3 linked regions of the Sus scrofa genome follow. The protein of the gene in region 1 binds, or shares a complex with, the protein of each later gene. Links are inferred from orthologs where the notes say so. Each region holds a gene or a part of one and is shown in the gene's direction. Other genes may lie near its edges.

What was found.
Region 2: MED26 (region 1) and MED12 share a complex: the UniProt entries of both Homo sapiens proteins name them as parts of the mediator complex. The link is inferred for Sus scrofa from reciprocal best matches to the Homo sapiens genes MED26 and MED12.
Region 3: MED26 (region 1) and MED31 share a complex: the UniProt entries of both Homo sapiens proteins name them as parts of the mediator complex. The link is inferred for Sus scrofa from reciprocal best matches to the Homo sapiens genes MED26 and MED31.

What each region holds. Positions count from the first base shown.
Region 1 is NC_010444.4:60,982,984-60,986,729, forward strand, and holds the start of MED26 (mediator of RNA polymerase II transcription subunit 26), read left to right. Parts: upstream 1-1,266; 5' UTR 1,267-1,535; coding exon 1,536-1,607; intron 1,608-3,746. UniProt on the Homo sapiens protein: Component of the Mediator complex, a coactivator involved in the regulated transcription of nearly all RNA polymerase II-dependent genes.
Region 2 is NC_010461.5:57,167,883-57,171,520, forward strand, and holds part of MED12 (mediator of RNA polymerase II transcription subunit 12), read left to right. Parts: intron 1-986; coding exon 987-1,361; intron 1,362-1,581; coding exon 1,582-1,732; intron 1,733-1,886; coding exon 1,887-2,080; intron 2,081-2,255; coding exon 2,256-2,333; intron 2,334-2,425; coding exon 2,426-2,643; intron 2,644-3,638. UniProt on the Homo sapiens protein: Component of the Mediator complex, a coactivator involved in the regulated transcription of nearly all RNA polymerase II-dependent genes.
Region 3 is NC_010454.4:50,727,306-50,731,051, forward strand, and holds the start of MED31 (mediator of RNA polymerase II transcription subunit 31), read left to right. Parts: upstream 1-1,375; 5' UTR 1,376-1,651; coding exon 1,652-1,679; intron 1,680-1,903; exon of another isoform or gene 1,904-1,967; intron 1,968-2,535; coding exon 2,536-2,613; intron 2,614-3,367; coding exon 3,368-3,464; intron 3,465-3,746. Other genes in the region: C12H17orf100 (uncharacterized protein C17orf100 homolog), read right to left, coding at 809-1,180. UniProt on the Homo sapiens protein: Component of the Mediator complex, a coactivator involved in the regulated transcription of nearly all RNA polymerase II-dependent genes.

The sequences.
Region 1 (3,746 bases):
TAGCACAGATCCAAGGCGCACATGTGGTTTTCATCAGCTGCCTCTCTCCTGTTTTAAATCTAGGTCTTCCTGTAACAAACGAAAAAAGTTATTTCTCCCGAGGCTGCGACTAATAATCCACTCAGCCTGCCCTTTCATCCCGTCACATAACTGAGTATTTAGCAGAGCTTCCAGAGGAGACAGCAATGAAAGAAGGCGCGGGGGTCGGCTTAGACTTGACAGTTAACAATTCTGGGCTTGACCTAGAACTCTGGATGACCTTGGGCCTCAGTTTCCTTCTTTGTAGTGGAGATTGAGAGAATGAGGACTGAAGGGTCTTTCTTTTAAACCAGGGATTCTCTACAGGAGTCGATTTTTGCCAGCCAAGGGACCTCTGGCAGTGATTGGAGACATTTTTGGCTGTCCCAGGCGGGGGAAAAGGGTGCTACTGGCATCTAGTGGGTAGAAACCAGGGATGCTGCTGAACATCATGCAATGCACAAGACAGGCCCTACAACAGAGTGATCCCAGCCCCAAATGTCTGGGCAGGTTGACTCCAACGTTGCGAGCTTGGCGTAGATACAGGCTTGCAACGCTGGTGTCAGCTCAGGGGTTGGCTTTGGGGCTTTCCTAGCTGGGGCGGCGGCTCCCATGCGGGGCGCTTGGCTATCGCACATTTTCGGGATCCCGGCCCGAGGCGCTGCAGACCCGTGCTCGTATCAACGCCCTCTGGAGGGGGAGGGGCTGGAGTGTTCCCGCACGCTCAACTGACCCTTACACGCACAAATTCACTACGGGGAAGTCTGCTCCCCTGGCCCTCAGAAACGCAAATAGAGGGCTTGTGAAAGACCCCAGGCTCAGAAAACTTGGCAGCTTCTCCTGCCCGCGATTTCCATCACCTCCATCAGAACAGGGAAAGCTTTTCTCCCCGAGGAGAGGTCCTTCGGCTGCTCTGATACGGCCTCCCACAGCGCCGGAGTTCAAGGACTCGGCGCCCACCTAGCGTTTCGGTCGGAGACCTCGGCCCCCAAGCCGGGGCGGGGGCGGGGCCTGCAGGCGGTGGCCGTTGCCCCGCCCAACCGCCTCCCAACGGCTCCCTTGGCCGGGCGGCGGGGAGGAACCAAGCGGTGGGGCGAGTGCGCCTGCGCGCGCATGCGTATGGGTATGGGGCCGGGCCCGCGCGTGGCCCCGCCCAGGTTCGGCGTCTCTGCCCGCCCCATCTCCCAACCTCCTCAGCGTGGCGCCGACGCTGCGTGCGGCGCGGGTTACCCAGAGTGCTCCGCGCGAGGGTAGCTCACTGGAGTTTGGTTCTCGAGGCGGCGGCAGCAGCGGCAGAGGCTCCGGCGGCTCCTCCTCCTCCTCCGGTGGCGGCGGCGCCCCGGGCCTGAGCCCCGGCCCCGGCTCCCCCTCTGCCACCCCGCGCGCCCCCACTTTCTCCGGCGCCGCGGGGAACATGAGGCTCCGCTCCCGGAGGCCGGCGAGTGAGTGACCCCCGTCCCCCACCTCAGCCCGCCCGCCCGCTGGCCCGGCCGCTCCCCCCCCGCCTCGCCCAGGCAATGACAGCGGCTCCGCCGTCTCCGCAGCAGATCAGGGACCGGCTGCTGCAGGCCATCGACCCCCAGAGCAACGTAAGTGTCCACGGCACGGGCTGTGGTGGAGGCCGCGTGGGCCCGGGACCCTCCCCCTCCCTACTGCCTCTCTCCTGCCGGGTTCTGGGGGACCCGTCGGACGCTCACCTGCCCCCAAGGGCCGCTGCCATCTCGGCCTCTCGCCCCTCGGGCCCGGGTCGGGGCAGGTCGGGCAGCCCGGCGGCGTTCGGTACGTGAGGCCGAGGCTTTCGTGAGGCCTGGGCGGAGGGAGCAGATGGGAGCTGAGACCAGAGCTTTTCCTCAGTTCCCGCTCCAGCTCTTCGACCCTTGCTGCTACTGACAGAGCTCGCTTGCCTTTTCCTTCCCGGGAGACCCCCGACCCCCGGGAAGCCCTCCCGGCGCGGGGGAGGGGAGAGGGAAAGGCTGTGGAGCAACTGGTGTCCGGGGTATGATTCGGGGATCCCGTGTCGCCAGTGTCTCGGCCTTCTGGGTGATCGGGAAGTCCTTCGCTTTCCTCCCGGCTGGAAGCACCTTCCCGGCTTCGGAGAGAATCCCTCGACTTGCTTTGCCCCTAGCCGGCTGCCTAGGGCGCGTAAAGAGTCCTCTTCGGTTCTGAGAGTGAACATGTCTTTGCAGGATCCCTCCTGGGGTCGCTGCTGACGGAAGACGATCTTGTGGAGAGTGGATTCTTTTACCTTTCTGGGCCTGAGTACTCACTGCGTCTCTGACCAAGCCAGAGCCCCGCTTTTTGGTAGTGAATTAGAGGTGATTGTTTTCTCTCCCATTCCCCCCATAGCCCTCCTTCAGCTGTCTCTTCCCCCTACCTGGGGTCCCAGCCTGTTGGTTTGTGACCTAGACCATCCGGGTTAACCTCAGGGTGTTGCTTTCTCAGACGCTCCTCTACCCAGGCTGCTGTTTGTAGAGGGATCTTCCCTGCCCCCTTCCGTGTGTGGGGGGAAAGATTCATTGAGTTCTCATATCTTCTCTGAGTGGTTGCTGGCCATAAGGGTCATTTTTCCCTGTGGCAGGAGCAGGTTCAGCAGTAGGAAGATGCAGTAGCATCCAAGTAAGAGATGAGTCCCTGCATTTCCTGGGAGACCAGGAAGTGGCCCTTAAGATCATTTTTTAATGTACTGGGGCTAGAAGGAAAAACCCTCTTGGGCTTGGCCAGGTAACTCAGGTTTCTATCACTATGGAGGCTTTTGCTTTTCTTTTACAGGAGTTTGGCTGATTACTTTTAGCAGTAGGCTTTAGCTTAGCATTTTTAGAATTCATGTTGGATTGTACAGTTTTGGTAGATATAGAGAAGTTATGCTCTAAGACTCTGATTTCTATATCATAAGTAATTCTGTTGTTCCTGGTCTACAGGCCCTATTAGAGTAGCCGTGGTGGTAATTGTCTTTAACAAATGTTGTATACATTTTTTTTTATGACTTTGGGGGTGGACTAGGCACAAAGTATATAAGATCTTGCAGGATTTTTGCAGTAACTGGTGCCGCAGAGGTTCCCAAGACTGAAATATTAGAGGATAAAACAAGTGATGTGAAAAATGTAGCCTTGGTGTCTTTTGCATCAGTCAGAGTGTAATTTCTTGAATTCCATTTGCGTGTTTGCCTTCCAGAGAATCTGAAAGGTTCCTGAGATATTAGCACTGATCCTTAATGCCATCTAGGAGAGCTTTGGGATCAGGAGGGGCTTTGATGCATAGTCCCCGTATTGTAGATTAGGTGGGGCAGTGACCTCAGGGGTTCCAGTGTTGTGTAAGGCTCTAATCTGAAAGGTTCCTCCTAGGAATACAGGAGGAAGAGGGTCCAAGCCCACCATTGTGTTGTATGTTATGGTATTCACATTTCACATGGCTTATTTGGGACAACTCTTGTGATAGGTGTGTGTGGAATCTTACTAATGTAAATGTAGTGGATAGAATTGAGAAGTTGCCTCTGAATATGAGTGATGAGAAAGTGCCTCCTTTAAATGCTGCTACTGTCAGTGTCAGCCCTGAATATCACTATAAGCCATTGGACAGGAGTGTGGCTTGGAGCAAACCCCAAGCCACACTCCTGTCCACACTCCTGTGGATAGAGATGGTACAAGTGTATCTCTGCAGTTTCTCCTGATTGACCTGAGCTCAGGTGAGAACTAGGTGGCTCCAACAAGGCATTGCTAGCACACAGCTGC
Region 2 (3,638 bases), on another chromosome or scaffold:
CTGCTCCCCGCCCTCCACCTTTGTTCCATTTCAGGCCAGAGCCTCCCCTGCCTTAACCTTATAGCTCTAAGAGGCTCATCAGGCTCTGTCGGTGCTGAGAGCCATCCCTGGGGTGTTGAGCTAATCACTTAATTTTTCCTCGCGTCTCTTCTCCCCAGCTCAGGAGTCTCACTGTCTTTCCTTGGTCTCTTTCATCACCCCACGCACCTTTGCACATACCACCCATTTCTCAGCACCCCACCCTCCTCTTTCTTCTGCCCCACCTGCCTCCTGTCCGCCTGGCTGCACCCCACCTCTCCGCCTGGCTGACAGCCCATATCTCTTTTATCCCTGTGTTTCTCTCCACTCCCACCCCCCACAACCATCCACCCATCTCTGCAGTTTTCTTTCCTCTCTCTCAGTTACAGTAGTTGTTGGGTAACCATAATCACTGTTACGGAGAAGTGGAGGGAGAAGGAGAAGAGGACACGATGAGCTCAGAATCGAAAGTCCCACCCATTCTCACAGCCATCCATCCTCTTCGTTCTTTTCCTGGCTCATCTTTCTCTATCTGCATGAGTGTCTCTGCCTCTCTCTTTCTGACTGTCTCTCTCATCCTCTTTTTCTCTCTCTCTCCCTGTCTCTGTCTCTCTCTCTGTCTTCAGTCTCTTGCTGCCTTTTCTTTCTCTGCCTTCCTGTTTCTATACCTGTCTTCCTCTGACAGTGTCTCTCTCTGTTTCTGTCTGTCTCCCTCTGCTCCCTCCACCATCATCCTCTCCCCTCTTAACTCTCTCTTCCCCACGTGTGTGTGTGTGTGTGTGTGTGTCGGTGTGTCTGTGTGTCTGTGTGTCCATGTCCATCTGTCTTCCTCTCGCCCTCTGCCCCAAATCTACCTATGGCTTTCTTTTATTGCCCACAGATAACTTTTCCTTCTCCTCTAAGTCCTCAAGGTCTGTCTTCTGTTTTCCAAGTCTCAACAGCTCACTGTTTCTCATTTTCCGGAGCAGGGTCTGCAGGTTTCCACCAAACAAAAGATCTCTCCCTGGGATCTTTTCGAGGGCTTGAAGCCGTCAGCACCACTGTCTTGGGGCTGGTTTGGAACAGTCCGGGTGGACCGGCGTGTGGCCCGCGGAGAGGAGCAGCAGCGGCTCCTGCTCTACCACACACACCTGAGGCCCCGGCCCCGCGCCTACTACCTGGAGCCACTCCCACTGCCGCCGGAGGATGAGGAGCCCCCTGCCCCCACCCTGCTGGAGCCTGAGAAAAAGGCTCCAGAGCCCCCCAAAACTGACAAACCTGGGGCTGCTCCGCCCAGCACTGAGGAACGCAAGAAGAAGTCCACCAAGGGCAAGAAACGCAGCCAGCCAGCCACCAAGACGGAGGTTAGCACTGCCGACACCACGACCCTGTTACGCCTCCCCAGCCCATGTCTCTTCCTGATTCTGTCTAGCGTCTGGTTTGTGGGAGGGGTAGGGGCATGTGGGGAAGAGGGACCCTTAGAATTAAAAAAAAAAAATGAGCCACGTAGATCCGGCTTCTGTTCCCCCCTCCTACCCTCCCTCACCTCAGCCTTCTCACCTTCCTCTTCTGCTATTCACACAGGACTATGGGATGGGCTCAGGCCGCAGTGGCCCCTATGGAGTAACAGTGCCTCCAGATCTCCTGCACCACCCCAACCCTGGCTCCATATCCCACCTTAGCTACAGGCAGGGCTCCATAGGCCTCTACACCCAGAACCAGCCACTCCCGGCAGGTGAGTGCCAGCCACCAGCCCGAGGGGCTTACCTGGACATTCCTCCTGCCTGAGGGGCGATGCCACTCTTCCAAGGAGCTGTGGATGCCCCAGGCACTGAGCAGGGGACAGAGGGGCCAGGAGACTAGAGAGGTCAGCCTGCTCCCCTTTCCAGGCGGCCCCCGCGTGGACCCGTACCGCCCTGTGCGGTTGCCAATGCAGAAGCTGCCGACCCGACCACCTTACCCCGGAGTGCTGCCCACAACCATGACTGGCGTCATGGGCCTGGAACCCTCCTACAAGACCTCTGTGTACCGACAGCAGCAGCCTGCAGTGCCCCAAGGACAGCGCCTTCGCCAACAGCTCCAGGCAAAGATAGTGAGAGGGGCCGTAGGGAGGGCCGTCAGGGAGAGGGGCTTTTGAGGGTCACAGAACTGAGGAGACACTTGGGATTTCCACAAGGACACAACGAGCAGGAGATATAAGAAATGAGGTGGCAGGATGTGTTTCCTAAGTTTGAGTTTCTCTCCTTTTTTCCCTTTAGCAGAGTCAGGGGATGTTGGGACAGTCATCTGTCCATCAGATGACTCCCAGCTCGTCCTACGGTTTGCAGACCTCCCAGGTAAGGGCACGAGATGGTGAGAATCGGGGCACTCAAGGCAGGCCACTCTGCACACTTTTGGCCCTGACTCCCTCTGTCCTCCTTCCCTCCAGGGCTATACTCCTTATGTTTCTCATGTGGGATTGCAGCAACACACAGGCCCCGCAGGTACCATGGTGCCCCCCAGCTACTCCAGCCAGCCTTATCAGAGCACCCACCCTTCTACCAATCCTACTCTTGTAGATCCTACTCGCCACCTGCAGCAGCGGCCCAGTGGCTATGTACACCAACAGGCTCCAACCTACGGACATGGGCTGACCTCCACTCAAAGGTACCCAGGGGAGCTGGGGGCTGTGCAGACACACTGGGGCTTGTGATTTGGGAAAACCTGGGCCTGAGGTGACGGGACTAGTCAGGACTTTTGGAGGCGTCGAGAACTCTTATCCTGCCACTTGGCCGGTCACCACAAAATGGCAGAGCTGGAAGGGACCCTGGAGACTAATACTTTCACACCCACTTCACCAACATATCTTTGAGGACTGGAGAGGGGAAATCGTTTATATGATTGTGAGAAGGAAAGACTTGAGGTTCATAGATGTGCTCTGTGGTGAGGAGTCATCTAGATGCAGTTTAGCACTGGAACGGACCAGCGAATGCATCCTCCCATTGTGCTGAATATCAGCCAGGCCTTAGTTAAGATATTGTCATCGTGGAGTTCCCGTCGTGGCTTAGTGGTTAACGAACCTGAATGGTGTCCATGAGGATGTGGGTTCAATCCGTGGCCTCACTCGGTGGACTAAGGATCTGGCATTGCCATGATTGAGCTATGGTGTAGGTTGCAGACTTGGCTTGGATCTGGTGTTGCTGTGGCTGTGGTGTAGGACAGCAGCTACACCTCTGATTTGACCCCTAGCCTGGGAACCTCCATATACCGCGGGTGTGGCCCTAAACCACAACAACAACAATAATAATAATAATGGCGTTCCTGTTGTGGTGCAGTGGAAATGAATCTGACTAGGAACCATGAGGTTGTGAGTTCGATCCCTGGCCCTGCTCAGTGGGTTAAGGATCCGGCGTTGCCGTGAGCTGTGGTGTAGGTGGAAGACTCAGCTCGGATCCCTTGTTGCTGCTAGGGGTCATTGGAATTGGACCTCTAGCCTGGGAACCTCCATAGGCTGTGGGTGTGGCCCTAAAAAGACAAAAGACAAAACCAAAAAAAAAGGAGTCACAAAGAAAAAAGATACTCTCATCATGTCTGGAGGTTCTGCAGCTTAGGATTGAGAACACTGGGAGGTGGACTGGGAGAAAAGTCCCTTACTTAGAGGT
Region 3 (3,746 bases), on another chromosome or scaffold:
CTCAATATGCAGGCTCCCTCCCCTGCATCTCCTCAAATCACAGGTCAGGTTTGCCTTCTAGAATTATTCTTTTTTTTTTTTTTTTTTTAATTTTCCCACTGTACAGCAAGGGGGTCAGGATATCCTTACATGTATACATTGCAATTACAGTTTTTTCCCCCATAAAATTATTCTTGATTGTTGATGGTTGACCTTCATTTTCCATTTTGAACTGCACTTGACCTATGTTAAAACATGTGTGGCTGGGGGGCGGGGGGGGGTACCATGCACAAGGGCTCAGCATAAAGAAAAGAACTGCGTGCTTTGAAATATAAACATAGGCCAACTAATTAAGGAATTAACTAATTAAGGAAAGTCTGATCCCTGCCCCCCAGGTTTTCAGCGGGCACATAATCAATCCACTGGTCATGATTTCTGCTTGCTCCCTGTCCTTAAATTTGAAGCAGCAAAGGTCATTCAGGGCTTAAGGACCCCCACACTCACCTGTCTGAGAGGTTCAAAGAGCCTCTTTGTCCATCGACTCAATTCATACAGTATCCGGGGCCCGGAACTTTTTGTGCTGGTTTCAAGTTAAAACAGTTCACAGGGTCAAAGGCAGGATAGTCCAAGGTGCAGCTGGGTCAGTGAATGTTGGCTGAGTCCTGAAACCACAGCTTGGCTCTTTCTTACATTGATTTGTGGATTGTGGACTGTTTCCAGGAAACCAAAGGGAATCGGTCCACCTGGCAGCAGGCCGGCTGCGAACTGGAGGCAGATCTGCACTGGCCACGGGCCATGGCCCTGTCGTGGCCCTGGAGAAGGAAGCATCTCATGGGGCCTTTTGGACATTCTGGCGGCCTGCCGGCTGCTCCTGCCGCGGCGGGCTCTCTACGCGGTGCAGAGTCGTCTCCACCCGCAGGCACGAGGCCCTGACGCGGCGGGAGGCTGTTTCCGTGCGCTGCCAGGTTTCCACGTGCTGGGACACCTCGACGACGCGAGGGAGCCGTTTCCCAGAGGGGGAGACGGAGGGCCCCTCGCTGCAGTGCTGGGTGGTCTCCACCCGCCGGGAGGACGTCTGCACCTGGCGGGAGGATGTCTCCACGCGGTGGGACGAGGTCTCTACGCGTACCGTCGACGTCTCCTCGTAGCGGGCGGCCGCCGCCCGGGGCCGCGAGGGCTTTCCCCGAAGGGGTGAGGCCATTCCACGGGGGTAACGGACCGAGCGGGCCTCGGGAGGCCTTACCGCCTCACGCTCCCCGACGGGTTACGTCACAGGGTGACGAGTGACGTCACATGCCTGTGTGACGCAGGTACAGCGCTAGACGAGGGTGCCACGACACAGGGACTTGGGGACAAGGTTTCCTTGAGGGGTGGGGAGGGACGTGAAAACTCCTTGGCAACTCTGGGCCGGGCCCCTCAGGCGCTCGGTCAGCGGGCGCACCGCCCCCTCGTCTGTCAGGAGCTCCCGCGAGCGGAGGAGGGGCTGGGCTGGGCTGGGCCGGGGCGGGCGGGCGGATGGGCGGAGCCACCCGCCCCCGCGCGAGGCTGATCCCGCCCTCGCGTCCCACACTGCCCCGCGGCAGGAAGAGGGAGCGGCGGCTTCCGGCACGTCCCCCGCGGCTCCGGGCGTTTGCTGTGCTGGGCTGCTTGTGGGTTAGCGTCTTTGCTCGTGATGGCCGCCGCCGTCGCTATGGAGACAGGTGAGTCGCGCTCGGAGCCACGCGTCTTCGCAAGTAGAACTATCCTGGGCCCAAACCCCCGCTCCTGCTCCCCCGCGTTCTCCTTTCAGGCCTGACTTCTTTCAGGCAGAGTGAGTTCGGACCGGGAGGGCCGCGGACTTTTCTAGTGTCGGAAGGGTGAAGGTAGTTTGGCCTTTTCAGAGTTTAATTTGTTGGCCAACACTTTTTCTTTCATTGCTCTTCAGACACCGGCACCACTGGCTTCCGGCGAGAACGAGAAAGAGAATTTCAATTTTAAACCAATCTTCGGTTTGTTTTCTGCGTCTCAAACGAGCTTGCATAAGTTAAAACATCGTCGACACATTTGTGTTATTATACTACCAACGACGCTTCTCACCTAAGCACACGCTTCTTGATCTTGTGTACTCGCCGTAGCCTCTGTCAGCTTGCATTCTGAACTTTTTCTTGGTGGCTTTAGCATTCACTTTGTTTTTGTTTACTAACTTTATCACCTAGCTACTTGTAATGCATTATTAAAATTAAGGCACAGTTACCCTAATCTATCCCAGTGATCACTGTTAAATTTCTTACATGGTAGCTCACGGGTCATAAACATTCTGACCTGTGTGTTCTTGCTTTCTTTGATGACTTGTCTTTAAGTTTAGAGAAACGTCTTACTCCTTTTAATCAGGGCTTTGCTTTCCTTAGACTTCTAAGAAAGGTTTTTCTCCTCCCACGCCCAGTTTAGGAAAATATCACATGCCCTTCTTTATGAAGAAGTGTATTTCAGCATTAGGTTTATTACTGATGTTTTCTTTCTACAAATCAGTATTCAGTGACGTTTATTTTGGATGATTTTTGATATCTTCTCTCCTAGATGATGCTGGGAATCGACTTCGGTTTCAATTGGAGTTGGAATTTGTGCAGTGTTTAGCCAACCCAAATTACCTTAATTGTAAGTTGAGCAGTACCCCGTTGAATTGAGTAAATATTGATGATTTCTGACCGAAGAGTTGCAATTCATAGTACTGTTGGCCCTTGGTATCCACAGTTCAACTGCAGTTGGTTGAATCCTCAGATACAGAAGGTGACAGTACTGTCACTGTCATCGCACTATACCATTTTATATAAGGGACTTGAGCATCTGTGGATTTTGGTAATCTGTGGAGTCTCCTGGAACCAATCCCCTGCAGAGTCCCTGGGATGACTTTATCTACTTTTATACATTCTCAAGTGAATGGAATTATTGCTACACTTTTACTGCTATATATTATCATTGAGCAGACTGGGACTTGTGTTTTGAATTCAGTGTCTTTTTTTTTTTGTTTTTTGGTCTTTTTGCCATTTTCTTGGGCCGCTCACATGGCATATGGAGGTTCTCAGGCTAGGGGTCGAATCGGAGCTGTAGCCGCCTGGCCTACGCCACAGCCAATGCAACTCGGGATCCGAGCCGTGTCTGCGACCCACACCACAGGTCTCGGCAACGCCAAATCCTTAACCCACTGTGCGAGGCCAGGGATCGGACCGGAAACCTCATGGTTCTTAGTCGGATTCGTTAACCACTGAGCCATGATGGGAACTCCCTGAATTCAGTGTTTTTTAGTGGTGGGGATGTTATGTTAAGTTTACTTTATGTATGTCAGGAGTCAGAAATAAGTAGTCCAAGGATGGTTTGCTCTACAGATTTTTTTTTTTTTTGTGCCTTTCAGTTCTTGCCCAAAGAGGTTACTTCAAAGACAAAGCTTTTGTTAATTATCTTAAGTACTTGCTTTACTGGAAAGAGCCAGAATATGCCAAGTATCTAAAGTAAGTTTAATTTTCATAGTCCTAAATATATGTGTACTTTATTACAAAGACTGATATTTAATTAGATGTCTTAGTTTCACATTTGAAAAAAAATTTTTTTGCCTCTTTGTGCTCCTTTTAGTTTCCACCAGTTTAATATGAAACACTTGTTTCTAAATTAACTTGGATTATTGCAGTAATCTCACTGGTATCCCTACCCCACCCCCACCCCCACCCCCACCCCCACCCCCACCCTTCCACTTGAAATAATTTCACCTAAAAACAACTGGAAATAATAGAATT